Linked DNA regions of Canis lupus familiaris. The protein of the gene in region 6 interacts with the protein of the main gene of each other region in a biochemical or structural test. Links are inferred from orthologs where the notes say so. Each region holds a gene or a part of one and is shown on either strand. Other genes may lie near its edges.

What was found.
Region 1: the proteins of PPP1CA (region 6) and RRP1B form a complex in vitro, tested with the Homo sapiens proteins (4 studies listed by BioGRID and IntAct, with this or other methods). The link is inferred for Canis lupus familiaris from reciprocal best matches to the Homo sapiens genes PPP1CA and RRP1B.
Region 2: the proteins of PPP1CA (region 6) and PPP1R15A are reported together in a solved structure, tested with the Homo sapiens proteins (2 studies listed by BioGRID and IntAct, with this or other methods). The link is inferred for Canis lupus familiaris from reciprocal best matches to the Homo sapiens genes PPP1CA and PPP1R15A.
Region 3: the proteins of PPP1CA (region 6) and PPP1R10 form a complex in vitro, tested with the Homo sapiens proteins (2 studies listed by BioGRID). The link is inferred for Canis lupus familiaris from reciprocal best matches to the Homo sapiens genes PPP1CA and PPP1R10.
Region 4: the proteins of PPP1CA (region 6) and MPHOSPH10 form a complex in vitro, tested with the Homo sapiens proteins (2 studies listed by BioGRID and IntAct). The link is inferred for Canis lupus familiaris from reciprocal best matches to the Homo sapiens genes PPP1CA and MPHOSPH10.
Region 5: the proteins of PPP1CA (region 6) and SFI1 form a complex in vitro, tested with the Homo sapiens proteins (2 studies listed by BioGRID and IntAct). The link is inferred for Canis lupus familiaris from reciprocal best matches to the Homo sapiens genes PPP1CA and SFI1.

The regions. Positions count from the first base shown.
Region 1 is NC_049252.1:37,532,532-37,537,606, reverse strand, and holds the start of RRP1B (ribosomal RNA processing protein 1 homolog B), read right to left. Parts: upstream 3,327-5,075; 5' UTR 3,264-3,326; coding exon 3,134-3,263; intron 1-3,133. UniProt on the Homo sapiens protein: Positively regulates DNA damage-induced apoptosis by acting as a transcriptional coactivator of proapoptotic target genes of the transcriptional activator E2F1.
Region 2 is NC_049222.1:108,160,963-108,166,166, forward strand, and holds the start of PPP1R15A (protein phosphatase 1 regulatory subunit 15A), read right to left. Parts: upstream 3,406-5,204; 5' UTR 3,115-3,405; intron 2,480-3,114; 5' UTR 2,471-2,479; coding exon 503-2,470; intron 93-502; coding exon 1-92. UniProt on the Homo sapiens protein: Recruits the serine/threonine-protein phosphatase PPP1CA to prevents excessive phosphorylation of the translation initiation factor eIF-2A/EIF2S1, thereby reversing the shut-off of protein synthesis initiated by stress-inducible kinases and facilitating recovery of cells from stress.
Region 3 is NC_049233.1:560,723-565,136, forward strand, and holds part of PPP1R10 (serine/threonine-protein phosphatase 1 regulatory subunit 10), read right to left. Parts: intron 2,562-4,414; coding exon 2,484-2,561; intron 2,352-2,483; coding exon 2,178-2,351; intron 1,971-2,177; coding exon 1,865-1,970; intron 1,752-1,864; coding exon 1,639-1,751; intron 298-1,638; coding exon 197-297; intron 1-196.
Region 4 is NC_049224.1:38,436,648-38,441,061, forward strand, and holds part of MPHOSPH10 (U3 small nucleolar ribonucleoprotein protein MPP10), read right to left. Parts: coding exon 4,384-4,414; intron 2,473-4,383; coding exon 2,362-2,472; intron 1-2,361. UniProt on the Homo sapiens protein: Component of the 60-80S U3 small nucleolar ribonucleoprotein (U3 snoRNP). Required for the early cleavages during pre-18S ribosomal RNA processing. Part of the small subunit (SSU) processome, first precursor of the small eukaryotic ribosomal subunit.
Region 5 is NC_049247.1:24,909,297-24,913,085, reverse strand, and holds the end of SFI1 (protein SFI1 homolog), read right to left. Parts: intron 3,388-3,789; coding exon 3,283-3,387; intron 3,192-3,282; coding exon 2,960-3,191; exon of another isoform or gene 1,914-2,959; intron 1,713-1,913; coding exon 1,381-1,712; intron 1,158-1,380; coding exon 1,046-1,157; intron 954-1,045; coding exon 849-953; 3' UTR 739-848; downstream 1-738. UniProt on the Homo sapiens protein: Plays a role in the dynamic structure of centrosome-associated contractile fibers via its interaction with CETN2.
Region 6 is NC_049239.1:50,565,256-50,570,103, reverse strand, and holds PPP1CA (serine/threonine-protein phosphatase PP1-alpha catalytic subunit), read right to left. Parts: upstream 3,500-4,848; 5' UTR 3,404-3,499; coding exon 3,349-3,403; intron 2,824-3,348; coding exon 2,692-2,823; intron 2,536-2,691; coding exon 2,305-2,535; intron 1,749-2,304; coding exon 1,644-1,748; intron 1,448-1,643; coding exon 1,224-1,447; intron 1,141-1,223; coding exon 1,006-1,140; intron 929-1,005; coding exon 818-928; 3' UTR 685-817; downstream 1-684. Other genes in the region: TBC1D10C (carabin), read left to right, coding at 4,678-4,848. UniProt on the Homo sapiens protein: Protein phosphatase that associates with over 200 regulatory proteins to form highly specific holoenzymes which dephosphorylate hundreds of biological targets.

The DNA.
Region 1 (5,075 bases), on a different chromosome or scaffold from region 6:
TGTGAAATGAGAAAACCCTGACCGCTACTCTCGGGATGAAATGAGCTCAGGAGCATTTTAGGTTGGGGTGAGTCCACACCTGGTCAGTCAAAACACCTGCAGCTCTCATCTATTCTACCTACAAGGGGCCAGGGACCCCTAAGCCTGTTAGTATGAAGAAATACTTCCTCCAATACTGAATCTGAAGCCCCATCAGCCGTAAGATGTACGGTTCTCTTACGTGCCACCAAATGAGAGCAAGAGGGCACAAGGTTGATTTTAAGATCCATCCCAGTTTCTGCAGATGTTACATGTTTACAGTTGCAGAATCAATAAAGCCGGGGGGTGTGTGTGTGTCTGTTTTTCATTCCCTGCTCTATTATTCTCAGTGCCAACAATAGTAAGAGCACACAGTAGGTGCTCTGTGTTTGCTGAAGACGTGAATGAACGGTACAAATGAGCTCTCATGGGTAAAACCATAGATAGCGATCATTCTGTACGTGCTCTGTGTGAAGTTACAACACCCCAGAGCATCATTTAGCTGCTTTAAGCACTACAAAAGTTCCCAATTTGTTTACAAAGCTTCTGGGGTTCCTGGCTGCCCCAGTCAGTGGAGCATCTGCCTCCTGATCTTGGGATCGTGAGTTCCAGCCCCATGTTGGTCGTAGAGATTATTTTTTTTTAATTTTTTTTAAAAGATTTTATTTATTTATTCATAGAAACAGACAGAGAGAGAGACAGAGATATAGGCAGAGGGAGAAGCAGGCTCCATGCAGGGAGCCTGATGTGAGACTTGAACCCAGATCCTGGGATCATGCCCTGAGCCCAAGGCAAACGCTCAACCGCTGAGCCACCCAGGCGTCCCTAAATTTTTTATTAAGTAAGCTCCATGCCTAGTGTGGAGCCCAGGGTGGGGCTTGAACTCATGACTCTAAGTTTGAGACCTGAGGGGAGATCAAGAGTCAGACACTCAACCGATAGAGTCACCCATGTGCCCCAAGATCACTTAAAACAAAAAAACAAACCCCCACAAAACTATTTATGTTGCTGGTGGGCAGTTCTTCATACCAGTAAGACTAAGATTTCAGATTTCCTTTACTACACACGAAACAAAACACAACAAACCGTGAGCCTGTCAAGGAGACACACACGTCAGGTCAAGTTACTCCCCAACTTGCATTTCAGGTCCACGGGGGACAGTGGCGGCAGAAGCCCGGCTTATTATACCTCCCTGTCACCGTCTGTGACATTCACCATGCAGTTCCTTCTTCAGAGGCCCAGCATACTCTACGCAACGTGGGCGTGGTGGTGAACAAGATAGTCTCTCTTGGCATGATGGGCACTGACCAAACAGGACCTGGGGGCACTGGTGCAGACCCAGTGGCCTCATGCCCATGTCCCTGCAGATCCTGGGCCCGCTCATCAAGCTCTGTTTGGCCATTTCAGCCCATATGTACTGCATCTGGCCTTTCTTGTGTTCTTGTGTGGAGGCAAGCCCGGTATGCCTGGATGTGCTCCCACTTCCAGCTAAGCAGACAGACGGAAGTTTACACTGTTTGGGGAAGAGTGATACAGTAACAGAGAACGAAGAAGCCACACAGCTAAGTGCCATGACAGACACACACTGGATATTTTGGAATCCTGGAGGGGTGGTGTGAGATGGTAGGGAAGGCACTTTGGAGGAAGTGATGTTGAACTGAATGCTAGGAGTGCGCAAGAGAAGCAAAGGCGGAGAGGAGAGAAACGATGCATGTATACCAAGAGTCAGCACAAAGCATCACGTAGGGGCCGAAGTGGCAAGAGAAGGGAGGACAGACCATTGCCTGCAGACCTGGAAATCCAAGAAGGTGGTGACGTGATCAGAACCGTTTTTAGAAAATGACCCGGGCTGGTTTGTGGACGAGAGGTTCAATAGAGGGTCAAATGGACTTAAAGAGATTGGCTAGGAAATAAGCAAGTTCAGAGTCTAGATGAGATAAACGGTGAGGGCAGAGTAACTCAGCAGATGAAACAGGCAGAAGCAGCAAGAGACCATGGATGAGGGGTGGAGGAGAAGACCGGGAAGAGCCATCCAGGACATTATGGTGCGTCCAGCCTGGCTTTGAGGGGATGGCGGGAGCTAGCACCTAAGATGAGAGAACACAGGCGGCAAAAGTGAAGCAAGAGAGAACAGGTTTTAGGGAGGAGGAGAATGAATCACGTTGGGGCATTCGAGTCTGGGGTGCCCACGAGGGACACCCAGGTGGAAGCGCCTCGTCCGTGCATCCTATCTGCGCTGGGAGCAGCCAGGTCTGCTCCCGCAACTCGAGCACTCGGGGACCCGAAGCTGTGATAATAAACGTCGCCTCTCCGCGAGATCCCTAAGCAGAACTGAAGTCAGAAATCTGGTCTTCCCTCCTTTCTGGGGCACGTCCCACAGAACTGTATTTTCTTTTTCCCCCGGGGTGGTCCTTTTCCATCTCTCCTCAAAGACCAAACGAACTGAGAAAGTCAGTACAGAGACAGATAACGCCTGTCCTTTCTTTCTTTTAGGTTATTTACTTATTCGTGAGAAAGGCAGAGACGTGGAGGGAGAAGCAGGCTCCCTGCGGGGGAGCCCATGCGGGGCTGGATCCCAGGACCCCGGGGTCACGCCCTGGGCCACCGGGGTGGGGGTGGGGGTGTCCCAATACCTGTTCTGTCCAGTAGACTCTCAAGGCAGTAGTGTTAGCAGTCAACACGTCAAAATGAATCCGAGCGCAGCGCAGAGCCTGCGCCGTGGGCGGTGGTCCGCACCCCCGGGGGCTGCACCGCATGTCGGGGCCCGTGAGCTTCGGGCTGCAGCCCCGACGGCCTGGAGCGCAGCGCGGCCCCGCACCCGCTCCCGCACCCGCAGCCGCTCCCGCTCCTGCACCCGCAGCCGCTCCCGCAGCCGCTCCCGCTCCGCTCGCCACCGCAGAGGCCTTCCCGGACCCGCTCCCCATCCCCTCCCCGCCCTCTGGACCTCTCCGAGCCCCCCGGCCCCCCGGCGCCCCCCGGAGGTCGGGTCCGTCCGTCCGTCCGTCCGCCCGCCCCCTCCCGCCCCCTCGTCCGGGCGAGCGCGGCGCAAACCCCCGCGGGCAGCCCCCCCCCCCCCCCCCGCCGCCATGTGCGCCGCTGCCCGCCCGGCGCCCACCTGTCTCCCTCTGCGTCTTCACGCTGATGTACTGGCGCAGCTTCTTCACCGCGCGGTCCCGGATGCCCTTCTCGTGAGACGCCAGCCGCTGGGCGAACTGCAGCTCGGCCGGCTGCATGGCGGGGGCCATCGCGCCCGCTGGACCATCCCCCGCCGCCCGCCGCCGCAGCCTCCCGCCGCCGCCGAGCAGCTCGGGGCCGCGCCTGCGCAGAAGGCGGCGGGGCGGGGCCGGGGCGGCGCGCGCGCTGATGGCGTCACAGAGGCGCCGGGCGCCGCCGCTCGCAGCGCGTCCCGGGGGCGAGGGCGGCCCGCGGCGGTTCGGCCTCGGCTGGCGGGCGTCGCCGCAGCCGGCGTTTGGCGGCGAGGTTAGCGAGCGCCGGGTCTCGCCTGGAGGAGGCCCCGCGCCTCCAGGCCCGCTCCGCGGGAGCTCCGTGCGCCGGGCGGCCACCCGCCGAGCCTCGGCGTCCGCGTGCTGGGCTGGGGGCTGGGGGCTGCGGGCGGGATGCTGGGGACAGCCCCGTTAGGGGCGCCCTGAGGGGCCGGGGCTGAGCCCCCGCTGCCCTCGGAGCCAGCGCCCCCGAGCGCCCCAGTGTCGGGGCCCGGGGCAGATCCCAGTGCAGAGGATGCTTGGGGTCAGGGGTAGGTCCCGGTGCAGGGCAGGTCAGGGTCAGGGTCAGGGTCAGGTCCCGGGGCAGAGGACGGCAGGGTCAGGGTCAGGTCCTGGCGCAGGGGTGGCAGGGTCAAGGCCAGGTCCCGGTGCAGGGCATGTCAGGGTCAGGGTCAGGGTCAGGTTCCGGTGCAGAGGATGGCAGGGCCAGGGTCAGGTCCTAGGTCAGGGGATGGTTGGGGTCAGGGTCAGGTCCTGGGTCAGGGGATGGCAGGGTCAGGGTCAGGTGCCAGTGCAGGGCATGGCAGGGTCAGGGTCAGGTCCTGGTGCAGGGGTGGCAGGGTCAGGGTCAGGTTCTGGGTCAGGGGATAGCAGGGTCAGGGTCAGGTCCTGGGTCAGGGGATGGCAGGGTCAGGGTCAGGTGCCAGTGCAGGGCATGGCAGGGTCAGGGTCAGGTCCTGGCGCAGGGGATGGCAGGGTCAGGGTCAGGTCCTGGGTCAGGGGATAGCAGGGTCAGGGTCAGGTGCCAGTGCAGGGCATGGCAGGGTCAGGGTCAGGTCCTGGCGCAGGGGTGGCAGGGTCAAGGCCAGGTCCCGGTGCAGGGCATGGCAGGGTCAGGGTCAGGGTCAGGTGTAGGGGACAGCAGGGTCAGGGTCAGGTCCTAGGTCAGGGGATGGTTGGGGTCAGGGTCAGGTCCTGGGTCAGGGGATAGCAGGGTCAGGGTCAGGTGCCAGTGCAGGGCATGGCAGGGTCAGGGTCAGGTCCTGGTGCAGGGGTGGCAGGGTCAGGGTCATTGCCAGTGCAGGGGATGGCAGGGGCAGGGACGAGGTCAGGTCCCAGTGCAGGGGATGCCGGGGCTAGGTACAAGACAGATGCAGGGGATAATGGGTTGGTACAGGTCCTGGCATGGGGACAGATTTAGAGTGGTTGTTTGCGAGTGTGCTCTCCTGCCTGGAGAACATTCGGGGGACTTGGGTGTTGTTGGCAACCTGCTGGCCTCAGAAACAGACGAGGTCTTAGTTGTGCAGGACCCAGTACACTGGACCGCGCTGGTGGCACCGATGGTGCACGCTCGGCCCGCGGGGCAGGTGAATGGACCAGGTGGCATCTTCCCGAGCAGGTGGTCGTCTGGGCTACAGGCGGCTGGCTGGGCTGGCCCTCCGAATCCCGGGCGGACCCCCGGAGGAGCCTCGGCTCCGCTGAGCGCCGCCCCTAGCCCAGCGCCCCCCGGGGTCGGGAAGGCCCCCGGGACTGCTTACCTTGCCGCTCAGCCTTGCATCCCCCTGTCCTTCTGCTCTGCAGGCAGCGAGTCTAAAAGCCCGGTTAAGGCAGCAG
Region 2 (5,204 bases), on a different chromosome or scaffold from region 6:
GCGAGCTGCTCCCAGGGTCCGCGGCGGGCTGCCTGAGCCGGTCCTGCCCAGACAGCCAGGAGATGGACAGAGACTTTCTCGGAGAAACGGACCTGGAGACGGACCAGCACAGACACAAGACACACGTGTCCACAGGGGGGGCAGGGGGGAGAGAGAGAGCCAAAACAAAAATTAGTTGCACAAAAATGCTTGTTATCTTAGTCACCTGCTAGTCGCTCACCCACGGGATTCTCCATGTGACTCACTGCAGGTGGAGGCTGTTTCCTGGTGCTGACATGAACCACAACAGCTTCCCTCTTCCCACAGGGCCTCTTCCCATGGGGCCCCAGCCTCTTGCAAAGGATTGCATTACAGTGAACACAACCCTCCCAACAGGGTTTGCATGCAATCCCCTGCAACACACAGGGGGTCCAGAAATTGGGGCACTCAGGCCTTCTGCCCCCAGGCCTAGGACTTCCAGCTCTTCCCCTAAGACTTGAGAATTTGAGCCCTCAGTACCCACCTTTCTGGCCGTTAGGGGAGTCTCAGGGTCTGGATGCCGGGTGGGGGTTTCTGGGGGCTTGAGTCGCCTCTGCAGTCTGAGGGGCAGCCGAGGAGGAGCCCAGGGAGGTGGTGGCTTTTCTCCAGGTAAATAGATGGCCACTCGGAAGGGGCAGGGCTCAGCTTCTCCCCCTCTCTCTGTGTCCTCTCCAGGCTGGTATGTCCAGCCCCTGAGGAGGGTGCTCTGAGCCTGAAGTGAGGGACTTGGCTCTGAGTTAACTGCTTCTGAATCATCATCTTCCTCTGTGTCCTCTCCTGGCCTATACACCCAGGCCCTCACGAGGGCACTTGTGGATGGGATGGAGGAGGGATCATATGCTTCTCCCTCCTCTTCAGCTGCTCCTGAGTCACCGTCATCTTCTTCCTCTGAGTCCTCTCCTGGACAATACACCCAGGCCCTCACGAGGGCACTTGTGGATGGGATGGAGGAGGGACCCTCAGCTTCTCCCTCCTCTTCAGCTGCTCCTGAATCACTGTCCTCATCTTCTTCCTCTGAGTCCTCTCCTGGACGATACACCCAGGCCCTCACGAGGGCACTTGTGGATGGGATGGAAGAGGGACCCTCAACTTCTCCCTCCTCTTCAGCTGCTCCTGAATCACTGTCCTCATCTTCTTCCTCTGAGTCCTCTCCTGGACGATACACCCAGGCCCTCACGAGGGCACTTGTGGATGGGATGGAGGAGGGACCCTCAGCTTCTCCCTCCTCTTCAGCTGCTCCTGAATCACTGTCCTCATCTTCTTCCTCTGAGTCCTCTCCTGGCCGATACACCCAGGCCCTCACAAGGGCACTTGTTGATGGGATGGAGGAGGGACCCTCAGGTTCTCCCTCCTCTTCAGCTGCTCCTGAATCACTGTCCTCACCTTCTTCCTCGGAGTCCTCTCCTGGCCGATACACCCAGGCCCTCATGAGGGCACTTGTGGATGGGATGGAGGAAGGACCCTCAGGTTCTCTCTCCTCTTCAGCTGCTCCTGAATCACTGTCCTCATCTTCTTCCTCTGACTCCTCTCCTGGCCGATACACCCAGGCCCTCATGAGGGCACTTGTGGATGGGATGGAAGAGAGAACCTCAGCTTCTCCTTCCTCCTCAGCTGCTCCTGAATCACTGAATTCATCCTCCTCCTCCTCCCATTCCTCTCCTGAGCAACACTCCCAGGCCCCGGGGCAAAAGCCTGAAAATGAGGAGGAAATGGAGCTTTTTGTGGCTTCTTTATCCTCTGTTCTTTCTTCCTCTATGGCTTTATCTTCTTCCTCCCTGGGACAGTACACCCGAGTTTTGGGCTTGGATCTTGGAGATAAAGGGAAAATCGGTGTTCTGGAAGCTTCTTTGTTTATAGCTTCTCCTTCCTCCTTTTCCTCCCCTGGACAACACTCCCAGTGTGATGGAGGAAAAGAGAAGAACATGACCACTTTGTCTTCTGCAGCTCCTCCTTCCTCAGATTTCTCCTCAGAAGGGTCCTGTGGGGTTCTTATCAGAAGGCTGGGGGACAGGGGAGCAGGCTGGCCATCTAGGAATTCACTTTCCTGCTCTTTAGGGACACTGGTTGCTGCTTGTTCCCCACCATATTCTTCATCTTCATTATCTGAAAGTCCCCCTGCTTTAAGAGAAGAGCTGTTGGCTTTTAGATTATGGCGGGCCCCCCAAAATGCTTCTCCATTCTCATCACTTGCTCCACTGTCTCCAATCTCTTCTTCAAAGTGCCTGCCCCAGAGGGGATGGTGGGGGACTAGAAAAGTCTTAGCTTCTCTCTCCAGGCCAGGTTTTCCCCGATCCGTTTTGGTTACTGCTTCCCACGGCCAGGGTTCTGGAGATCCTGGGCCTCTCAGGTGGCTCCAGGCCCTGCTGAGAAGGCCCATCAGCGGGGACAGGAGGAAAAAGGGGTAGGTATCCCTCCAGGGGGCAGACTGATGGGGCACTTGGCCTGGGGCCATCTGTCTGTGCTGGAAATAAACAAAGGAAATAGTTTAGAAGCCATTTAGGGAAGAGTATCAAGCGAGGACTGAGTCATAGCAACCATAAACAGTAACACAAATAGCAACAAGAGAGTCCCTGCCCCACATTCTTGCTGATTTCTGCCACTTCCATCTCTAGCAGAGGCACAGCTTTCCCACCTCTCTTCTCTCAATACCCAGGAGTCAGAGGTTCCAGCCTCTTCTCTCAGACCCAGCAGTCCCAGACCCCAGAATTGAGAACACAGGTCCTCGACTTGCTTCCCTTGGGGACAAGGTCCTAGTCCCTGGTTCTGTCATTTTCTTGAGGATCGACAAATCAGGCCCTCATCACCCTCCCCCCTCTGAGACTCAAGAACTGCGGCTCCCCCTGCCCAGTTCCATCCCTTCCACCAGGGATCCAGGAGTTTGGCTTCCAGAACCCTCCTCTCGCCAGGCTCAGGCCTCCAGGCTCCCAATTTCTTCTCCTGCGTAGGTCTGGGCCCTCGAATCTGTCCTGGTCCCATCTCTCCCCAAATACAGGAGTTCCGGTTCCCAGGCCCTCCTTCCTCAGGATCCTGGGGTCCCGGCCTCAAATTCTCCTGTCTCGGTACCCAGAAATGGGTAATCCCTTCTTCCTTACTGACCAGGAGTCTGATCCCCAGCTCCCCAACTGCTCGGGGCCCAGGCGTTCGGACCCCTCGCTCACCGATGGGGGGCTACGCGTCAACCTGGGGGCAGGAGCGCCGGCTCGGGTTGCCACCAGCGATCGCAGCTCAGGACGGCTCGGGAGGCCAGCGCGTTCATCTCGCCCTCCGGTGTCGGGCTCGGGGACTCCGGGTACCACCGGCTGCTGCAAGCGCTGTCGCGGCGAAGGGATGCGGCGTCCTGAACCTGAGCGTGTAAGTTGCACAGCAGAGCTTGGAACTGACGCAGCCTCCAAAGGCCTTTATAGCCCAGCGCAACCTCACGTGCTGACGTCACGGGGGCGGGGTTTTGAAACCAAAACCACCCGGCTCGGGATTGGAATTCTCGCGGAGATTCCAGGGGTTTTATGACGACACAACGACGTTTCCGAGCGCGACCACGCCCGAAACGGGCGAGCTGTCAATCAAATGCGTGCGGGGCTTCGGGAGCCGCGGGTTTTCTCCCAATTCCCGTTCCGGTGCGAAAACGCCTTCCCAAAACCCCAGTGTAATCAGCAGGCCTCAGACCAGAGTCCCCCCTTCACAACGGTCCCGCTTCCTTCCTGGTTGGGGAGATGGTTGATTCCATTTCACAGATGAGAAACTGAGGCTCCGGAATGAAGTCCCTTGGCGGAAGTGGTCACAGCAATCCACATTGATTGCAGATGAGAACAAGAATGCAAGCACGCTGAAGGCAGGCACTTGGCTTTGCTCACTGCTTTTTTCTTTCTTTCTTTCTTTTTCTTTTTTTTTTTTTTTAAAGATTTTATTTATTCATGAGAGAAACACAGAGAGAGGCAGAGGCACAGCCAGAGGGAGAAGCAGGCTCCATGCCGAAAGCCTGATGCGGGACTCGATCCCGATCCCGGGACTCCAGGATCAGGAGGCGCTAAACCACTGAGCCACCCAGGGATCCCCATAATCATTGTTTTTTTTTTTTTTTCCCCCCTCGGTGCTGGACACATAGTAGGTGCTCGACATATGTGGGTGAGTGGATTCGAAACCAAAACCTCAAAAGACTCCTTAACTGGTCTCAAGCCCGAGGCTCCGCACCTGGATTTCATCCACTTCAAACTCACAAGAGCTCATACACAAACCGAAATTCTGGCCAAAGTGCATCCACTGAACCTCATGGGAGTGGGGTCTCCAGCCACAAGTTTCAGACTCTGGGACACAGTCCCAATTCCCTGCCCCATCCCTCCTACCTGGTCCCTAATTTTGCTCCTTGAAATATCCTCAGTGTAGAACACAGTGCTCACCTGGATCTGAGATAGATGTTTGGCCATGGCCCCTTGACCCTGCCCTAGCCATGATCCAGGAATCCGGGGTCACTCCCTCCTCTGGAAAACCTGGACCTGTCCACCCAGAAACACCTTTCCAGATGCCGGACTCCGTTAACAACTCAGGAGTTCTAACTCCAGGCTCACACCTTTACACCTTTTCGTGTATCCAGAAGTGTGAGCCCCCTCTATTCCAGGATCTCAGCTACCTCCTTTTAGGGTACAGTGACCTGGGCCCTGGAGTCCAGGCCCAGCTCCTCCTCTCCAAACAGTTAGGAATCCCAGCCCAGCAGGGACCCAGGAGTCAGGGGAGCCCCAGCCCCTCCCCTCAGCTGTGGGGCACCGGAGCCAGGGGTCAGGCTTGGAAGGGGTGGGGGGAGGCCAGGAGGGGCGGGGTCAACCGGGATTGGAAGGGGAGACCGCAGCGTGGGCGGCTGGCAGACCAGCAGGGAGGAAAGAGAAACGGAGAGGGGAGGAAGACAGAAGGGGAATCTGAGAGAGAGGAGGAAACAGCGTCGGTGGGGACAGAGATAGAGAGAAGGAGGAAGAGCTAGAGGGTGGGGGTGGGGGGGGGAGAACGAAATGGAGACCTGAGGAAGAGACTCTGTGTCAGCCCGAACGAAAAAGATCTGGAACAGAAACAGAAAAGACTGGAAGGGAAAGTGCTGAGGTGGGGGGCGGGGAAGAGAATGAGTGAGAGAGAGAGACTGGAGGAGACAGATTGAGAACCGGAGAGACCAGGTGAGGCCAGAGACAGAGACACTCGGAAAG
Region 3 (4,414 bases), on a different chromosome or scaffold from region 6:
GTTAAGGTAAGGCAGTTAGTCCAGCATCCTAGACAGGCTCCCCTGCGGATTCAGATGAAGGAAGACTTTGCGTCTCCCACTGCCAGCCCCCCAACCCTCACCCCAGTCCACATCCTGTGGTCCTCCCAACCATTCCTGGGCCCTTCCTTTCACTTTAGATATCCTGTCATTGACATCTACGGCACAGGGCTCATACCTTGGCAGCTGTGGGTGACAACACCTTCTTCTTCTTCTTAATTTTGATGCCTGGAACAGGGGCTGAATTGAGTGCATCCAGGAAGCCCAGGCCCTCCATAGCTACAAGAGGATAAAGCATAAAATGGAACCATCAGACCTCTTTCACAATCCTATTCCTACAAAGTTTGAGCAGGAAATGGGCCAATGGAGACCCTACCCCAACTTAGGACACAGTTAAGTTCAAGGTGGCCAGGATGCATATGCTGGATTCATACAAGAAAAAAAAAATTTTTTTTAATTTTGTTTTTCAGTTTTTTTAAAAAAGACTTTATTTATTCATGAGAGATACAGAGAGAGAGGCAGACGGAGAAGCAGGCCCCATGCAGGGAGCTGACGTGGGACTCGATCCCGGTCTCCAGGATCACACCCTAGGCCGAAGGTGGCATGCTAAACTGCTGGGCCACTGGGGCTGCCCCTGTTTTTAAAAATTCTATAATCAGGATGCTTGGGTGGCTCAGTGGTTGAGCGTCTGCCTTCGGCCCAGGGCGTGATCCTGGAGACCCGGGATGGAGTCCTACATCGGGCTCCCTGCGTGGAGCCTGTTTCTCCCTCTGCCTCTCTTTCTCTTTGTCTCTCATGAATAAATAAATAAAATCTTTAAAATAAAAAAAAGAAATTCTATAACCAACATGGGGGCTTGAACTCATGACCTGGAGATAAAGAGTTGCATGTTCCTCCAACTGAGCCAGCCAGGTGCCCTATTCTTTCTTTTAAAGGCAGGCAACTGGGCAGCCCGGGTGGCACAGCGGTTTAGCACCGCCTGCAGCCTGGGGTGCGATCCTGGAGACCCGGGATCGAGTCCCGCATCGGGCTCCCTGCATGGGGCCTGCTTCTCTCTCTGCCCATGTCTCTGCCTCTCTCTTGCTCTCTCTGAATGAATAAATAAATCTTTAAAATAAATAAATAAATAAATAAATAAATAAATAAATAAATAAATAAATAAATAAATAAATAAAAATAAAGGCAGGCAACTTGGGGTGTCTGGCGGGGCTCATGGGGTTGAGCGTCTGCCTTCAGCTCAGGTCACGATCCCAGGGTCCTGGGATCGAGCCCCACGCATCAGGGGGGCTAAACTAACTAACTAACTAGTAATAAATAATAACTAAATAAAAGCAACTTGAGGCTTTCAGTATTAATTAGAGCTCAGGTGACTTAGGAAAACAACCCTCATGGACAGGACCGACTATCCCGAGACTGGGAGCACCCCGAACCAGTCACCGAATAGCACCCCATTCCCATACCCAAGATTACTTCTAAGTAATCCTATGAAAGAGGAGCTCCAGAGGTGCAAAAATTAAGACAAGCACACAAAACTAAGAAATCCATCTTGTACCACCCCCCCAACTCATTTCCATGGAGTTCTCTCCCAATTCAAAGTGTGTTCCTCTACTTCAGACTCACGCTGTGGTGGGATGATCTTCACTTTGATCTCTTTGGTGGCATTTGGTGTGGTGTTCAGTGGCTTGTATTTCTTCTCTGCAGGGGGAGCACCATCTCCTGGAGCAACTGTGGTGCTGTTGGAAGATGAGCCATCAACATGATCTCTGATGCACCCTAACTTGCCCCCTCTTCCTCCCTCATGTCCACAGACATAACCCACACAGAACCCAGTACACAAGGGCCATACCTCTGACGCTTGAGGGGGATGGGTTTAAGATTGTACTTGTCAGAAACCACCACTGCACTGGCGTTCTTTTTCACAGGCACCAAAGATGGGGTCTCCAGCTCTAGCCCTGAGGGAAGAAACATGCCATTGCGTTGAACTTATTACCACTCTAACTCTTCCTCCCCACTCCAACACTAAATCTTTACCCAGCCCAAACCTCACCTACTAGTCTTCCATCTTCTCTCTTCCCCATGTCATAAATCCACTATTCCACCACAAGACCCTAGGTGTACATCTGCCCACAGACTCTCCCAAGACCAGCCAACCACCCTACCAGTGGAACGAAACTTGGCGTGACTGGGTGCTGTGGTTCGGAGAGACTTGGGCTTCTCTTTCTTCTTCTCTGGGGCCTCCTCAGCCCGGGTCTCAGCCTTCACCTCAGTCAAGGGTCGCTCGGGAGGGGTGGTTCGACTCTTCCCCTCTTCTTTACGTTTTTTCTTATCTTTCTCTGTTGTGAAAAAACAAAGCAGAAAAGGATTTTATTTAAAGAGAAAGACTGTCAAGAGGTGAAGCAGGCTAAAGCCACCGAAGGCCAGTGGGAAAGAAATAAATACAAGGGATAAAAGACTAAGGAGCTTACCAGCAGGCTGGGTACTGCTCTGGGAGCGGATGACAGCCATCCAGTCACTGACAAGGACTGAAGCCAATTTCCGGAGCTCTGCAGGTGAGAGTATAAGGGAAAATCCCTAAGTAACTAAAAATATTATTCTTCCAATAATAGAAAATACAGAGGTTTAAAGATATACTGTGAAAATCTATGTAACAGAAAACGTAGCCCAGAGTTTTAAGGAGAAGATGAGACAGGCTCAAACTCTTGGGAGGCCTGGGTGTCTCAGTGGTTGAGCATCTGCTCAGGTCGTGATCCCGGGCTCCTGGGATCAAGTCCCACATCGGGCTCCCTGTGAAGAGCCTGCTTCTTCCTCTGCCTGTATCTGCCTCTCTGTGTCTTTCATGAATAAATAAAATCTTTATTTTTTTAAGATTTTATTTATTTATTAATGAGAGACACAGAAACAGAGAGAGAGAGAGGGACACAGAGGGAGAAGCAGGCCCCATGCAGGGAGCCTAATGCTGGACTCGATCCCTGAATCTGGGATCACACCCTCAGCTGAAGGCAGATGCTCAACTGCTGAGCCACCCAGGTGTCCCTATTTGATTTTTTTTAAGCCATTATTACTATTGGCATTATAGGAAAAAAGGTGGCCTAGAAAATCTTTTTCTTTTCTTTTCTTTTCTTTTTTTTTAAGATTTTATTTATTCATGAGAGATACAGAAAGAGAGGTAGAGAGAAGCAGGCTCCATGCAGGGAGCCCGATGCGGGACTCGCTCTCAGGACTTTAGGACCATGCTGTGGGCCGAAGGCAGGCGCTAAACTCCTGAGCCACCCAGGGATCCCCTAGAAAATCTTTTATAAGATGAATCTAAGTCAGGCTCCTTGATACTTTGTTTGCCTTTAGGACAACACAATAATACTGTTCTTAGCTGTTTGGACACTTGAACCCTGCCTGCTTTTTCCTTGAGTTTAGTTCTTGTTCTTTTAACACATGGTTAGTGGAAGAGTGTGGACACTGGCTTCATTCTGCTGCTCTATTCATAAGAGAGACACAGAAGCACAGAGAGAGAGAGAGAGAGGGGTGCAGAGACACAGGCAGAGGGAGAAGCAGGCCCATGCAGGGAGCCTGACGTTGGACTCGATCCCGGGTCTCCAGGATCACGCCTTGGGCTGAAGGCAGGCGCCAAACCGCTGAGCCACCCGGGCTGCCTGAATAAATAAAATCTTAAAAAAAAAAAATCAAGGAAATGTAGCAAATAAGTGTAGCGAAGAGCTTATAAAGCAGACCACATTAGAGATGGGGAAGGCAGTGTTTAGAGAAAAAAAGACGGTCAGAGAATTTAAAGGACAAAATGTGTTTCCAAATATACGGAAAAAAAACAAAGACCTTTACAGCTCTTGCTTTTCGTACTTGGCAAATCACATCTCTTATCTATGGCACCTATCCTCTTGCCAGCTTTTCCACTTACAGATTCGTTTAATAATGAGATTATTGAAAACATTAAAACCAAACTTTTCAAATAAATACCCACACAACTAGCAGTTTCTATAATTAAGGCAACACAAACTCCAGTACATCCCTAATACAGGGATATCCTGAACCTTTTTGGACCAATTGATACTATAGTCTAGTCAGACTTTATTAGGAATGTACAAATTTCCAAAGGAAGTACAAAACAATTAAATCTACATTCAAAGGTGGCAATACAATTGAGACAACTGGAAAACAGGGAACAATATACCCAGCAATGAAAAAATAAGAGATGAACAATGATTTAATAGAAAATTCTGTAGTTTTACATTATAAGTTATTAAAGATAATTTGTAATGTCACAAACACAGAAGTGCTCAATATCTGAAAGGACCCAAAACCAAGATTTAATATTACTAAAATAATGGAAGGCTAGAGAATGTTTTTCCACTTAAACACTGTGAGTTAAACTCTTTAACTTGCTAAA
Region 4 (4,414 bases), on a different chromosome or scaffold from region 6:
CAACCCTGGTCAATCTGAACTAGCAACTATCCACAGACAAGAGAGCACTGTGAAAATCCCAGAACCTGAGGATGATGCTGAAGCAACCCTCTGGACCACATTCGAAGTACAGGAGAGGCTACACTCTCACCATATCATCCCAGGCCAGAACAGTGCCCCATTGAGAATGAGACCTAGCCTATGCCTTCTCCAGTGGAACAGAACCCAAGGTGGCCTTTCAGCTTCCCAGCACTGCAGGATGCTTCTGGGCAGGCCCAATTGTGTCTGTGTCAGGAGGATCAGGGAGGGAAAATATGAGGCTTGATCACTGGGGTTCAGACTGGGATGGAGAGCAAGGGCAGGGCTTATAGCAACAGTACCTGGACCTTGGCAGACCACATTCCTCCTCACAGCAGTGCCCAAGGAGAGATCCTGGCCAGCAACCTCACCCATCTGTAGAGCCAAGCTGGTGCCCATGTCTGGCTCAAAGAAGTATCTGAACCCCCGTGTTCACTGCAGTATTATTTACTATAGCCACGTCATAGAAACAATATAAGTGTTCATCAACAGATGAATGAATAAATACAGAGTGAAATACTATTTAGTCATAAAAAGAAGTAAATCCTGCCATTTGTGACAACACTGATGTACCCTAAGGCCATTATGCTGAGGGAGGAAGTCAACAGAGAAAGATAAATACCGTACGATCCTGTTAGGCAGGAAACTAGGCATGAGCGACAGGAGAATGGACCTTAGATATCCTGCCAGAGAGCCCCACCCAGGGACCACTACATTCCACCCATCAAGCAGTAGGTCTGGGGCTGCAACATCCCAGCAGAGGAAGAGTTAAGTTTGTTGCACTTACTGCACTTCTGCAGAAAGCAGCCATTTGTCCTTCTGTCTCTATAACAGAAATAATGTTGCAGTTTCCCACTCTTGCAGGCATTCAGAATACATCTTGGGAAAGAACATGAGTACTTGGCTAATATAATCCAGGCCTGTCACTCAAATGTTGCCACCCTAGGACCCACCCAAAAGGAAAAACTAATATAAGCCCACGCCCCCATGCACCAGTTTCTGGGGCATTGTCTCTCTTGGCTGGCTCACTCCTCCCTTGGAGGGTATTTAATAAAACTTTGCTTTGCTTTCATTTTTCTGTCCTGTAATTCTTTACTGGGGCAGAGAAATAATGGTAGCTTCGTTCCTTTTCCATCTAACTCTTAGTAACAATCTCAGATGTATCTAAAACAACCCAACTGATAGAAAACAGGTGGATGTCAAGTCCAAGTACAAACTACCAGTTGTAAGTTCTAGGCATCTAATATACAGCAGGGTAACTACTGTTAACAGTATTTTATATTTCAAAGTTGCTAAGAAAGTAGATCTTAAAAGCTCTCATCATAAGGAAGAAAACTGCAACTATATAGAGTGATGGATATTAACTAAACTTACCGTGGTAATCATTCCTCAATATATTCATGCAGGTATGCCACACCTTTCAAAAGTTTATGCTAGGTCACTCTAAAATACCTACATTAGTATCTGCTCTTGCTAAGTGAAAGAGATCTGAAAACATTTTTCACTTTTATTTTTTAAAAAAAGGGAAAACAAAAATAGCATTCAGCATCTGTTCTGCAGCAAGCAGCTCTGCCCAGCTCCTTCCTCAGGAACTACACTTGGTATCTCAGCATTAAGTCACCAGAGCTTTAAACTATGTCTGTGAGCATCTGTGCTTTATCTCAATTTATTTGCGCATCCATTACAAGATTGGTCCTGAAGTATCAGAAAAGCCTACAACAGATTATTTTTGGGGTCTAAAATGCTCAAAAAATTTTCCATTGAATGAATGGTAATTGCTTCTTTGCTTTACCCCATTTAGTCTTGCAAAAGGCTTCATGTGCTTTCCGAATGTGGGGGAACCTATGTATCAAACCACTGTTGTACATCTTAAACTTACAGTGTTACAGATCTGTCTTAATCAAACTGGGGAAGAGGGGTTAATGTACATAAAGGACTTAATATGGCACAGAGCAGGTATCCAAAAAATATCAGGTACAGACACCACAGGTCTCCAAACCAACTGCAGGATGGAAATAAAACAGAAGGCTGAACAATAAGAAAGAGTAAGAAATGAAGAGACCCTGTGGCTAAGACTTGAGGCCTGGGAAGGGCCCATTTGGAGATCAGGCTGGATCAGCAGACAAAGCCAGACTTGTCTAGGACTAGATGTGAACCATCCTCAAGAGAGGCCCTGCATGTAATTTATAAGGAATTCCTACAGGTTTGTATCCTAAAACCAAATAAAGAGTTAGCTTCACAAAAGCTCAGAGGAATTAAGGTCACATCTGCTCTGACCACACAATGAAATGTTAACACACTTACTGGTTTAGGGATGAAGTGAAAGTTTGAGAGGGCATCCAATTTTAAGAAGAGAGAATCCATCATCTTCTGAATTTCTTTGTGCTCTGGATTTTCTTCTTCTGCTGTTTTTTGCTTAGAAAATAAGTTCAGCAACATCAGACTGAGCAGCTTAATACACATCACAGGACAAAACACAAGAGTCAATAAGGTATAGCCCATTTCTCAACACCAAGGCTTCAGCTCCAAAGACATTACAAGGCAGATTTAAAATTATCAATACCATGATGGTGCCAGCACCAAAGAAGAAGTGTGACGTGCACTTTAGGAGCTGCAGCAACCCCTACCTCTATGATTTAGAACTTATAATTCCCTTGGTACTGATTTCTATCAAGAACTAAGCCACTCCCATGAGGATGGCTATCATTAAAATAAAGGGGAGCTAGGTAACAAGTATTAGGTGCTGAGGAATTAGAATCGTTGTGCAGTGCTGGTAATGATGTAAAATGGTGCAGTCACAATAGAGATGAATGAGAGAGCTCCTCAAAAAGTTAAACGGAGAATTGCTATATGACCCTGCAATTCCATCCTTAGATAAATACCTGAGAGAATGTAGAAAGAGGTTCTCAAACAAATACATGTAAACATCTATTCAGAGCAGCACTATTCCCGGCAACCAAAAGGTAAAAACAGCCCAAACGCTCACAATCCCCTTTTCCCTCTGCCCGTAATATTTATTCTAAAAGGCTAAGACCGTTTTTATTTGCTTTTTTATTAAGGCATAACAAAACAAAACAATACACACCAAAACAGGGAAGCAACTGGCTCTTTGCCTCAACAACCTTAATGCCTGAGACGCATCAAGGTCTGTTTCCAATTTCTGTCATCAAAGCCCACCTTCAGCCACATCTAAGCACTTGCCACTGCTTCTTTATTTTAACTTAATTCATTTAAAAAAAAAATCTTAAACACGTTGTTTACCTCAGCCCAGAGAATAATGGCTGTGAAATCATACATAAACAACAAGAAGTTCATTCATGTGCTGTGTACCATCACCTTGCTTATCACCTCCAGGATGGATACCAAACTCTGGAAAATACTCATCATCCCCAAACTCTTAATGGAATGGGTCTAGAATCAGCCTAAATTAAGTCCATACTCAAAAACTTGAGAACTGGCTGATGAATTCTAAGACATAAATATAACTATCATTTACAGAGCTGGTACAGCTGTCGCATTACATATTTAATTTTTAACTCTCATGGTTACAAAATACTTTCTGTGTTTACTAAATCCTCTCATGCCAGGCAATGTTCAGTAACATGTTCCTTCAACTAGCACTCTGGGATGCAAAACCGCCAGGAAGAATTAATTCAAATCTTTCCAAATCTTCAACTTAACAGTGGCATTGAGGGCACTGATGACTATTGCTGCTAATGTGACGTTAATTAAACAAATCTGGCAGAAATCTTAAATGGCTTTTGCAAATAAAATACTCTCTCCTCCCCAAGCACGTATTGACCACATTCTCAATAAATCAAATGTGAAGGAATAATTCCATCACTATATTGGTAATATAGTATTATGGGAAATAAGGCTCTGTCCTACTTAGCCAGGTAGTTCTTTTAAGAATCTAACTGAAAAGAAATAAGAATCAAAAACCAAATAACCCATGACCTAAAAATCTGAATGAATTCACAGATATGTTCTATCTGTAACTTTTACAGTATGAATGAGAACTGATTTTTAAATTGTAGGGCTACTATAATTGGTGAAAAGTTAGTAATTAGCTGTGGAACAATTAGGTGACTAATAACTAAATGCAATACAAGCTCCCCTACCCCCCTCACATTCAGTGGTAGTATTATAACCCCTCTATTCCTAACATACTCTGTCTCACATTTAAATAAGGTGAGCCAAGAGCTCAAGATTCCTTTCATGAATTTCAGCCAGGGTGAAATTGGAACTTAATTCATTCAACCAGCAGAGCTGGTTCTCCACTTCTTTTTTTAAGTAACAATGGCTTTGCCTTCCAGGCTTCCTTACCTGGTTGAGTTTGATGTATTCCTGCTCATAA
Region 5 (3,789 bases), on a different chromosome or scaffold from region 6:
TGGGAGACCCTACGTCTCCTGGCTGGATGTCCCGTTGGTCTTGATTTCTGTTGTAAGACAGAAAAGTGGTTATGTGTGTTCTTGCTGCTCTCATCATTGCTTTCCAGCCTCCCCATCTGCCTCGCCTGCACCGACTGGGCTGTGCTGCCCCCAGAGCAGCACCATGTGGCCTTTAACACAACCGCTTTCTGTTCCCAATTCACCCACCCTGCTCGTTTGAGAAAAGCTGTCTCTTTGCACTTGTGGCCGAACACATCATCCTTGGCTCCGCCAGCATCTTCTGGGGGGGGGACACCATGGCATGGCGCTTTACAGGCCCCAGTGAGGGACTCTCCAGAGCTGGCGAGTCCTCTTTCCAGTGGCAGGACCAATTACTGAGCCCCTTGAATGGTGTCCCAAGTGAATGGACAGGCAGGTAGTGGTGGCCTAGGAGGGGCCGGGGGAAGCTCATCCTCCCCTCCTACCCAGACCTACAGAAACATGGTAAGTTGCTGCTATTGATTCAGGGGCTGGTGTTGGAGGCCAAGGAGCCTTGGTGTATTGGGAAAGGGGGGGGGCAGGTCAGTGCCTACAACACCTGTCCCCAGGTAATAGGTACACAGTCCTTAGGGAGCCGCTGACGGTGGGGCCAGGATTCAGGTTTCCTGGGGACGCTGTGAATTTCTCCTGCAGGAGAAGCCATTTGAACTCTTTCAACTGTATCAGTAGCACAGTATTTTTGTATGAAAAGTAGGAGACTTCTGAACAGTAATTCATTTAATTGCAACGTTTTGAAATAAAAAAATTAAACTCATTGCAGCTTTGCGTTCTGTTCCTGGAGGTGGGCTGAGGCCTCCCAGGGGCAGTGACTAGCACAGAGCCTGCCGCAGGGCCTGGACACGGGCGATGCAGGCGCGGATGGGCTGGCGCTGGGCCTGGAGCTCAGAGGCCAGCTGCTGGATCTGCAGCTCCACCTGGGGACGGGGGGAGGGGCAGGAGGCTGAGCGGAGACAAAGCGCGGAGATAGGAGGGGAGAAAGCTGTTCCAGGGCTGCCTAAGGCCTCACCTCCTGTAGTTCTTCCTGCACCTGCTGCTCTGCTTCCTGGTCCTCAGGCCTGGGCTCCTCCTGGCTCAGCTCCAGCCACCTGCGCAGGCTTCTTGCTTGCCGCTGGCAGGACCTGAGGGAGTGAGACACCTGCTGCTGGCCTGGCCGGCCTGTGGCAGCACCTCCAGGGGAGGAAGCGGCACATCTGCTACTTCTGATGGGAGGTGGGGAGGGTGGCTGTGTTCTGTCCTCCACCACCCAGCTCAGCAAGCAACTTGGGTGGGCCCAAGTTGCCCAAGGACACCCCCACCCCAAAGCCAGCTGTGGGGAAACACCTGGGGTTTTCTGGGTCTTACGAGAGATTCTGCTTCATGGTCTGGTAGTCCTGCAGTTGCTGCTGGATGCTCTCAAGCTCAGCCTCCAGGTCGTCGTGGCCCGCGGTGATAGGAGAACAGGCTTGATCTTGACCCCCCTCTCGGCTAGGCCAAGGCTGAGTGGAGGGAGCCCAGGCACCAGGAGCGGCCCGAGTGCTCGCAGTGCTGACAGGCTTTGGGTGCACACCCATGGTTCCAGAGCTGCGCCCAGTGCCCATGAAGTCCCCAGGAAGCAGCAGGCGGGACTGAGGGACACTGGCTGGGGATGGCGAGGCCTGAAGTGTGAGCCCAGGAGTGGTGGGCTGTGCAGAGGCCTGGAAAGGGAGGACGGGTGAGCACAGAAGCTGGGAAGAAGGCTGGGGGAGGCACCCAGGCTGCCCACTGCAGGGCGTGGGGAGGTGAGGCTGTAGGACTTGACCTGACCAGCTCACCCAGTCTAGTCCTGACCCCTGCCCCTTTCTTCAGACCCGACACAAGGGAGGAAGTCCCGCAGGATCCCGAGGAACACCCCTCACCTGTGCAGTCTAGTCCCACCCCTGCTCCAGGGCCTGGCTCAGCACCTCTCCAAGCAGCAGTTTTACCCTGACCCTGATCTGAACCGTGACCCTGCACATCAGTGAGGAAAGGTGGTCAAAGGCAATCGTCCTGGTCAGACCACACATCTACAACCCTCCAGTACCTTCCAGTGACACTGACCAGCTCCCCTCAGCACCAGCTCTTGGCATGGCCCAACCCTGCCGCTGTCTTCTCTCTGAGCACGTGGGCCTCCCATACCACCGTGCCATCCCAGCCTGGACTCCTCCACCTGGATGTCACCTGCCCCAGGGAGCCACCGCCCCTTTCCTCCCAGGTGACCTCTTTGGTTCCCAGGAGTTAACCTTCAATGTACATTGCAGACTCTCTTGCTCTCAAGCCCTGACTTGCTCTCTGAAGGCCACACTCAGAACCTTGGTACTTGATCTCAAATTTGACAGGCTCAAGACAGACTCTCCAGGCTTTACCCCAAACAAGCCCTTGAGCCCCCACCCCCCGTCTTCCCTCTTTCAGTAAAAGAACTCATTATTCCTGGAGTTACTCAGGCCAGATACCCAGGAGCCATCCTGGATTCCTTCCTCACCCTTATCAGACCCATCGGAGCAGGTCCTGCCTATTCTGCCTCCCACGATGGGATCTGCCCGCACCACAGCCACCACCTACTCCTGGCTCCCAGCACCTGCTGGGCCATGGGGGCAGAGCAGGCCAAACCAGCCCCCACCATTTCCTACTTTTCTTAAAATCCAGATGCTTCCCCAGGGCCCGCAGGACCCTCCACGGTCTGCAGTGTCTGGGGCTCCACCTCTAGGATAGAAGCTTCCCAAGTGGGGGCCTGGGCAGCCTTTCCATACCGTGTCTCTAGGATGGGGGCACCTGCATGTGGTGAACGTGGGTGCCTTCCCTGCGCCCTCTGGCGCGGGTAGCTCTGGCAGCAATGAGTTCAGCTGTGGCAGCAGCACCGAGTACCTGAGGAAAAGCACCGAAGGCCCAACCAAAGAATGACCCCCAGGTGACCGGGAGGACTCACCCTGGCAGGTGCTTCCACTCCACACGGCATGAAGGATGAAGGGGGCAGCAGCTCTGGGCCTGTCTTCAATGTGGGGGGCAGCTTCAGGCCAGGGCGACCCAGCAGGGCCCTGGGCTGGGGTGAAGGGCTGCTTGGGACCAGTGCCATCCAGGCCTCTGGTGGGAAAGGCCTCATCAGGGAAGGGCCTGCTGGCCAGACCAGGCCTCGGTCACACTCCTGAGGTGCCTCAGACCTAAGCAGGAGGCAGGAGCTGGTCAGGCCAAGGTCCCCCCATGAGGAGCAGGAAGGAAAGGAGGCCACCCACCTTAGCCCACACAACATACCCTTTTCCCCTGAGGCTGCCACACCCCTGGGGCCTCTGGCTCTGCACAGGCTCCAGCAGGAAATGTGGACGTCGAGGCTGCTTTCTTGCCAAGCGGGTAGCATTTCTGGGAAGAAATGCAGGCCTGTTCTCTCAGCTGCCTGGGGCATCCAGTCTGATCCCTCCAATCTTACAGGGAGACTGGCAGCCAGAGAAGGAAAGGCCCTTGCCCCAGGTTGGCAGGTGACCTGGGGCACCACCTAGGGTGGGCCTCGGCCATACAGAACGTCCGGTAATCCCAGTGAAGTGAGCCTGATGCCATGGGGGATGCCTCACCCACTCATTTGACCTCGACAGCAAACCAGGCGACGGAAGTGCTCCTCCCACATCAGAGGGGGAGCAGCCTCATCAGGGTCAGGCCCTGTCAGGGTCGGATGGCAAGGAAAGTGGAGCAGGCCAAGGCGCAGGCCAGTCCCCCGCCCCGCTGGGGACCTCCGCCAAGCTCAGGCCATGCTGGTCGCTTGGGGAG
Region 6 (4,848 bases):
CCTGGCTCTGACTAGCCTGGGTCCTGTCTTCTCTAACTCCCAACCAATCATGTCTGTTCCCAGGCTTTGCACCGAGCTGCCACCTGATGGGAGGCCCCCTGTTATTCCCCTCCCATAGGCCTTTAGGCCAGACTCCCAACTATGTGGCTAGGGCTGGACACCTGCCTTCCCTAAGCCTACCTCCCCAGGACAGAAATCACAGAGGGGCTATGAGCCCCTGCTGATTTACCTTCTTTGCCAATCATGACTTGTCTGTCCCTTAAATCCTAAACACACCTCTGGAATCCTTTGTGGTCACCAAACTGTTTTCTCTATACTCTCTGGCCCCAGCTTGGAATTCTAAGCCCCCATGGACCTGAGCCTATGGCTGGGATTGCCCTAGCTGGGGCCCCATGCCCAGCATGCCTATCCTCCCAAGCAGCCCTGGACAGAAGGGCTGCCAGGCCCAGTATTTGGGACAAGGGAGACAGAGGCCATGGCGAGAATCCAGCTTTGACCTTTATTCAAGAGACCAGATGGGTTGCCCCAGGATCTGTCGGCCAGCCCTGAGGCCAAGCAAGGCTGGAAACCCACATCTGGCCCTGCTTTGCCCTGAGCTGCAGCCTCAGCCCCAGGATCCTGCTTGCCACCACTATAGCAGGCGGAAGGGGCCCTGGGGGATTGGACGCTGCTATTGATTCATTAAAAAAAAAAAAAAATACACCAAGGCTCCGTGTTCCCCGTGACAGGTGGGCCTGGGGGGCCAGCGTGAACCCCCTATGGCCACGTAATTTCTGTACAAATCCACCATCTGGGGCAGAGTGCGGGCACGCGGAGGCTATTTCTTGGCTTTGGCGGAGTTGCGGGGTGGGGTGATGGGCCGGCCTCCAGGGTTCAAGCCACTGAATTGCCCGTATTTCCCCTTGTTCTTGTCAGCGGGCTTGAGTATCTAAAAAAGACAAGAGCTGGTCAAACTCATGGGCTAAGCCACAGGGTCACCAGCCCCCCTCCTTCCCCCATCCCAACCTGGAAGGAGCACATGAGTGTCTCATCCACACTCATCATGGCGCCTGCATTGTCAAACTCGCCACAGTAGTTGGGAGCCGAGAAGAGAGTCACCAGCTGCCGCTTGGCAAAGAATTCATAGCCATCTTCTACCACCTGGATGAGGATGGGGGCAGTTTGTTCAGCAGGTGCTGGCTACCCAGGCCCCACTCCCACCCGCCCCAGAGCTGCCAGCCCACCTGGTGTGCCCGGCAGATGAGGTCCAAGTCGTGCTTGTGCAGGAATTTGGCCACTACCTCAGCCCCAAAGGTAAAGGAGACACCACGGTCATTCTCGCCCCAGCCCTGCACGTCCTTGTCAGGGTCAGACCACAGCAGGTCGCACAGCAGGCCCTGGTCCGGCACGTCTGTAGGCCGCATGATACGCCGAATCTGCTCCATGGACTGCAGGTCTGGGGACAGGCCTGGGGGAGGGCAGGTTACTTGCTTAAGCCTCAAAACAAAGAGTGACATGCAAACCAAGACCACTGGGAGAGGTCTTCCAGGTGACGGGGAAGACATCCTCCAGCTAACAGCCTCATCCCAGGGCTCCCCGGGATGTGGCCCAGGGCTCTTCCTTCCCAAAGAACCCTTCAACATGTACCCTAGAGCCACTCTCACCTCCATGGCAGCAGAAGATCTTCTCATCCACGATGGCAGCAATGGGCAGGCAGTTGAAGCAGTCAGTAAAGGTCTTCCACAGTTTAATATTGTAGCGTCTCTTGCCTGCTGGGAGGAAGGAGATGCCTCATGAGGCCTATCTGCCCCACAGCCAGCCTGGGTCTTGAGGCCCTCCAGACACAGCTGGGAGAAGAGAATGGCAGACAAGAAGAGAATCCCCCCTCCCCCGACTCCGCTGCCTACCAGCCTTCCAGGAATTCTAAAGCAGCTAGGTCCAGAGGAACCTGAGTTCCAATCCGAAACAACCCACCCGCACCCAGTGAGCAGGGCCAGGCCAAGACTAGGCCTGGTTTATCTCAGCTTCTGGTTGGTAGGATCCAGTCCAAATAGGCATCCCAAGTGCCTAATGGATGTCCTGGAGGGGAGTGTCATGAGGCAGGGCCCTGCATTAGAACATGGGCAGTCCTCAGCAGTCACTCCCCAGACCCCTCCTGCGTGCCGGCCCCACGGCAGGAGGGCAGGCAGAGAGGCACCAACTGGTGTGCACCCTTCGCAGAGCTCGCGGTCTGTGGGTAGTGGTCAGACACCAATTCCCCTACTGCCAGGCCTATGTGAGGGTCTCCCCGAAAAGGGAAGTCACTTAAGGACTTGGGCTACTCACACTCATCGTAGAAGCCATAGATGCGGTTGATGCTAGCACACTCATGGTTCCCACGGAGCAGGAAGAAGTTTTCGGGGTACTTGATCTTATAGGCCAGCAGCAAGCAGATGGTTTCCAAAGACTGCTTGCCCCGGTCCACGTAGTCCCCCAGGAAGAGGTAGTTGCTCTCTGGAGGGAAGCCACCATACTCGAAGAGCCGCAGAAGGTCGTAGTACTGGCCATGGATGTCACCTGTAACCCAGGGAACCGGTTCAGCGCTAGGTGCAGGGGCTACACTTGAACCCAGGGCCAAGTTCGGGCTCCAGGGAGCAGCAATGCAAGGACTGGGCGGGGTGAAGTGGGGATTCCACTTTCAGAAAGCCAAAGGGATCTGGGCAGCAGACTCACCGCAGATCTTGAGGGGTGCCTCCAGCTCCAAAAGAATGGGCTGGCTCAGGAAAATCTCCCGTGATTTGAGGCACAGACCACGGATCTCGTTCTCTGTTAGCTGTACATTCTTTCCAGGCCGCGAGCCCTGCACTGTGGGAGGAATGGGGTGTCAAGACTCTGGTCCCTCAGGCAGGAGGAAGGTGGGCGACACAAGTGGCCCTATGGGCACATCTGAGGGCGCCTGGGCCTCCTAGGCCCCTCCCTGCCTAGGGGCAGCTGTTGCTGGTGAGCCTCCCAGGACCTCCGCCTCTGGCCTCCCAGGATGGGACCCCCTCGAGGGGGTGTGCTGTGCGCGGGGGCCTGCCACCCAACACCCCACCCATAGCGCAGGACCCCTGGGAGGGGTGGAGCTAGGCTTCTTAGGTTTCTCCCTCACTCCCAATAGCGCAGGCCAACCCGTGCGCCCCCCGCCCAGGAGGGGGGCTGCTCCCCGTGCCAGAGCGTCCCCGGAACCCCCCTCCCCCGGCGCGCCGCGACTCGGGGGGCGGCTGTGGCCACGGGACCTTGCGGCCCGTCCCCGCCCAGTCTAAGCTGGCCCGGGGAGGGGCAGGCCCGCCCGCGCACCACTTCCGGGCCAGGGCGCGGCGGGCACCGACCTCCCCGGCCCCGGCCAACCTTCCAGCAGGCGCCCGATGATGGAGTCCAGGTTGAGCTTCTCACTGTCGGACATGGCGGCGCCGCCGCTCCGCCCCAGCAGCTCCGGGCCCGCTCCTGCCGCCCTCCCTCCCGCCCGCTGCCTCCTTCCGGCCTGGCGCTCCTTCCGCCCGCCCCGGCCCGCCCCGGCCTGCCGCCCCGCCTCCCCGGCCCGCCGCCCCGCCCTGCGCGCTGCCCCCGCGCTCTAGCGCTCCCGCCGGACACCGCGCGCAGCGGCCGCGGCGGCCCGGGGGGCGGGGCATAGGGGACGGGGCGGGGCTCGGGCTGAGCTCGGCCGTCGGGACGGAGCCCGGCCGGTGGGTGGAGCTCGGAGGGCGGGGTCGAGTCTGGTCCCGCCCCCGAGGAGTTACCCGAGTCCAGTTCCGAGAATATGGGGCCGGAAGTGCTGTGGGAGTTGTTTGTCTCTGTCAGACGCTAACCCACCCCCTGGGCGGGAGCGTGGTATGAGCACATTAATAACCGATGCTCCAGACACTGCGGATCAAGTCCTCGAAGTGCAGAAAAGGAAACGGAGACTCAAGAGATAGCAGGGGGGTGGGTTGGTCCAAAACCCTGGCCTCACATTCACGGGGGGCCTCCACCTCCTGAGTCTCTGCGGCCCTCAAGGCAGCTGGCCAGACCCAGGCACCTGCCGCGGCGCTCTGAACCCATCTTGGTCCACGCTGTGCTGCACGCTGAACTAATTTTTGTAAGTTCCGTTATTGCCTGCTGAGTGCATAATAACGCTGCGTTAGGTATATATTCAAAGCATTACTTGTAAAGAGCAAATATTAAATAAACGAGAATTCTCACTGGAATCTTGAATTGTTTTAACCTCAAAACTGGAGGGGCCTGGCCTCTGTAACTCGGGTGGGTCCTGGACTGGTCACACCCTGCTCTGGAGCCCAAGCCTGCAGCCACCCAGCCCATGGGGAGGGTGGGAGGAGCCCACGGTCCTGGGGGCACTGGGGCAGGCCGGAAGAGCCTCAGAGAGGAAGAGGTGACCCCCCCACACACTTGGGAGGGGAGTGTGGGAGGGGCCCCCCAGCCGGTGGCTGAAGCTGCTGAGAAGGAGGAAGTGAGAGGAGGAGGTGAGGTGCAGCAGGGAGGTAAGCTGGCCTGGGGGGGCAGGGGCTGGGCCTGGGGACCAGCCTCTACACAGAGGTCTGGCTTTTCTGCCATTTCAAGGCTCACTCTCACCCTCACCCTCCCACCCCGATAAAAGAGGGGACAGAGGGGGCTTGGTGAGATGCCCTGAAGTCTGTGCCCTCTGAACCCTGCAGCCAGGTCCCCGGGCTGGGGACCGGCTGGATGGGAGCTCAGGCCCCAGGCTGGTCAGAAGCTGCCTCTCACACTGGCTTTCCCCACATCTTGCAGCCTGTGGTAGCTTGGGTCTGGGGCACCATGGCCCAGGCCCTGGGGGAGGACCTGGTACAACCTTTCGAGCTGCAGGATGACTCAAGCTCTTTGGGGTCCGACTCA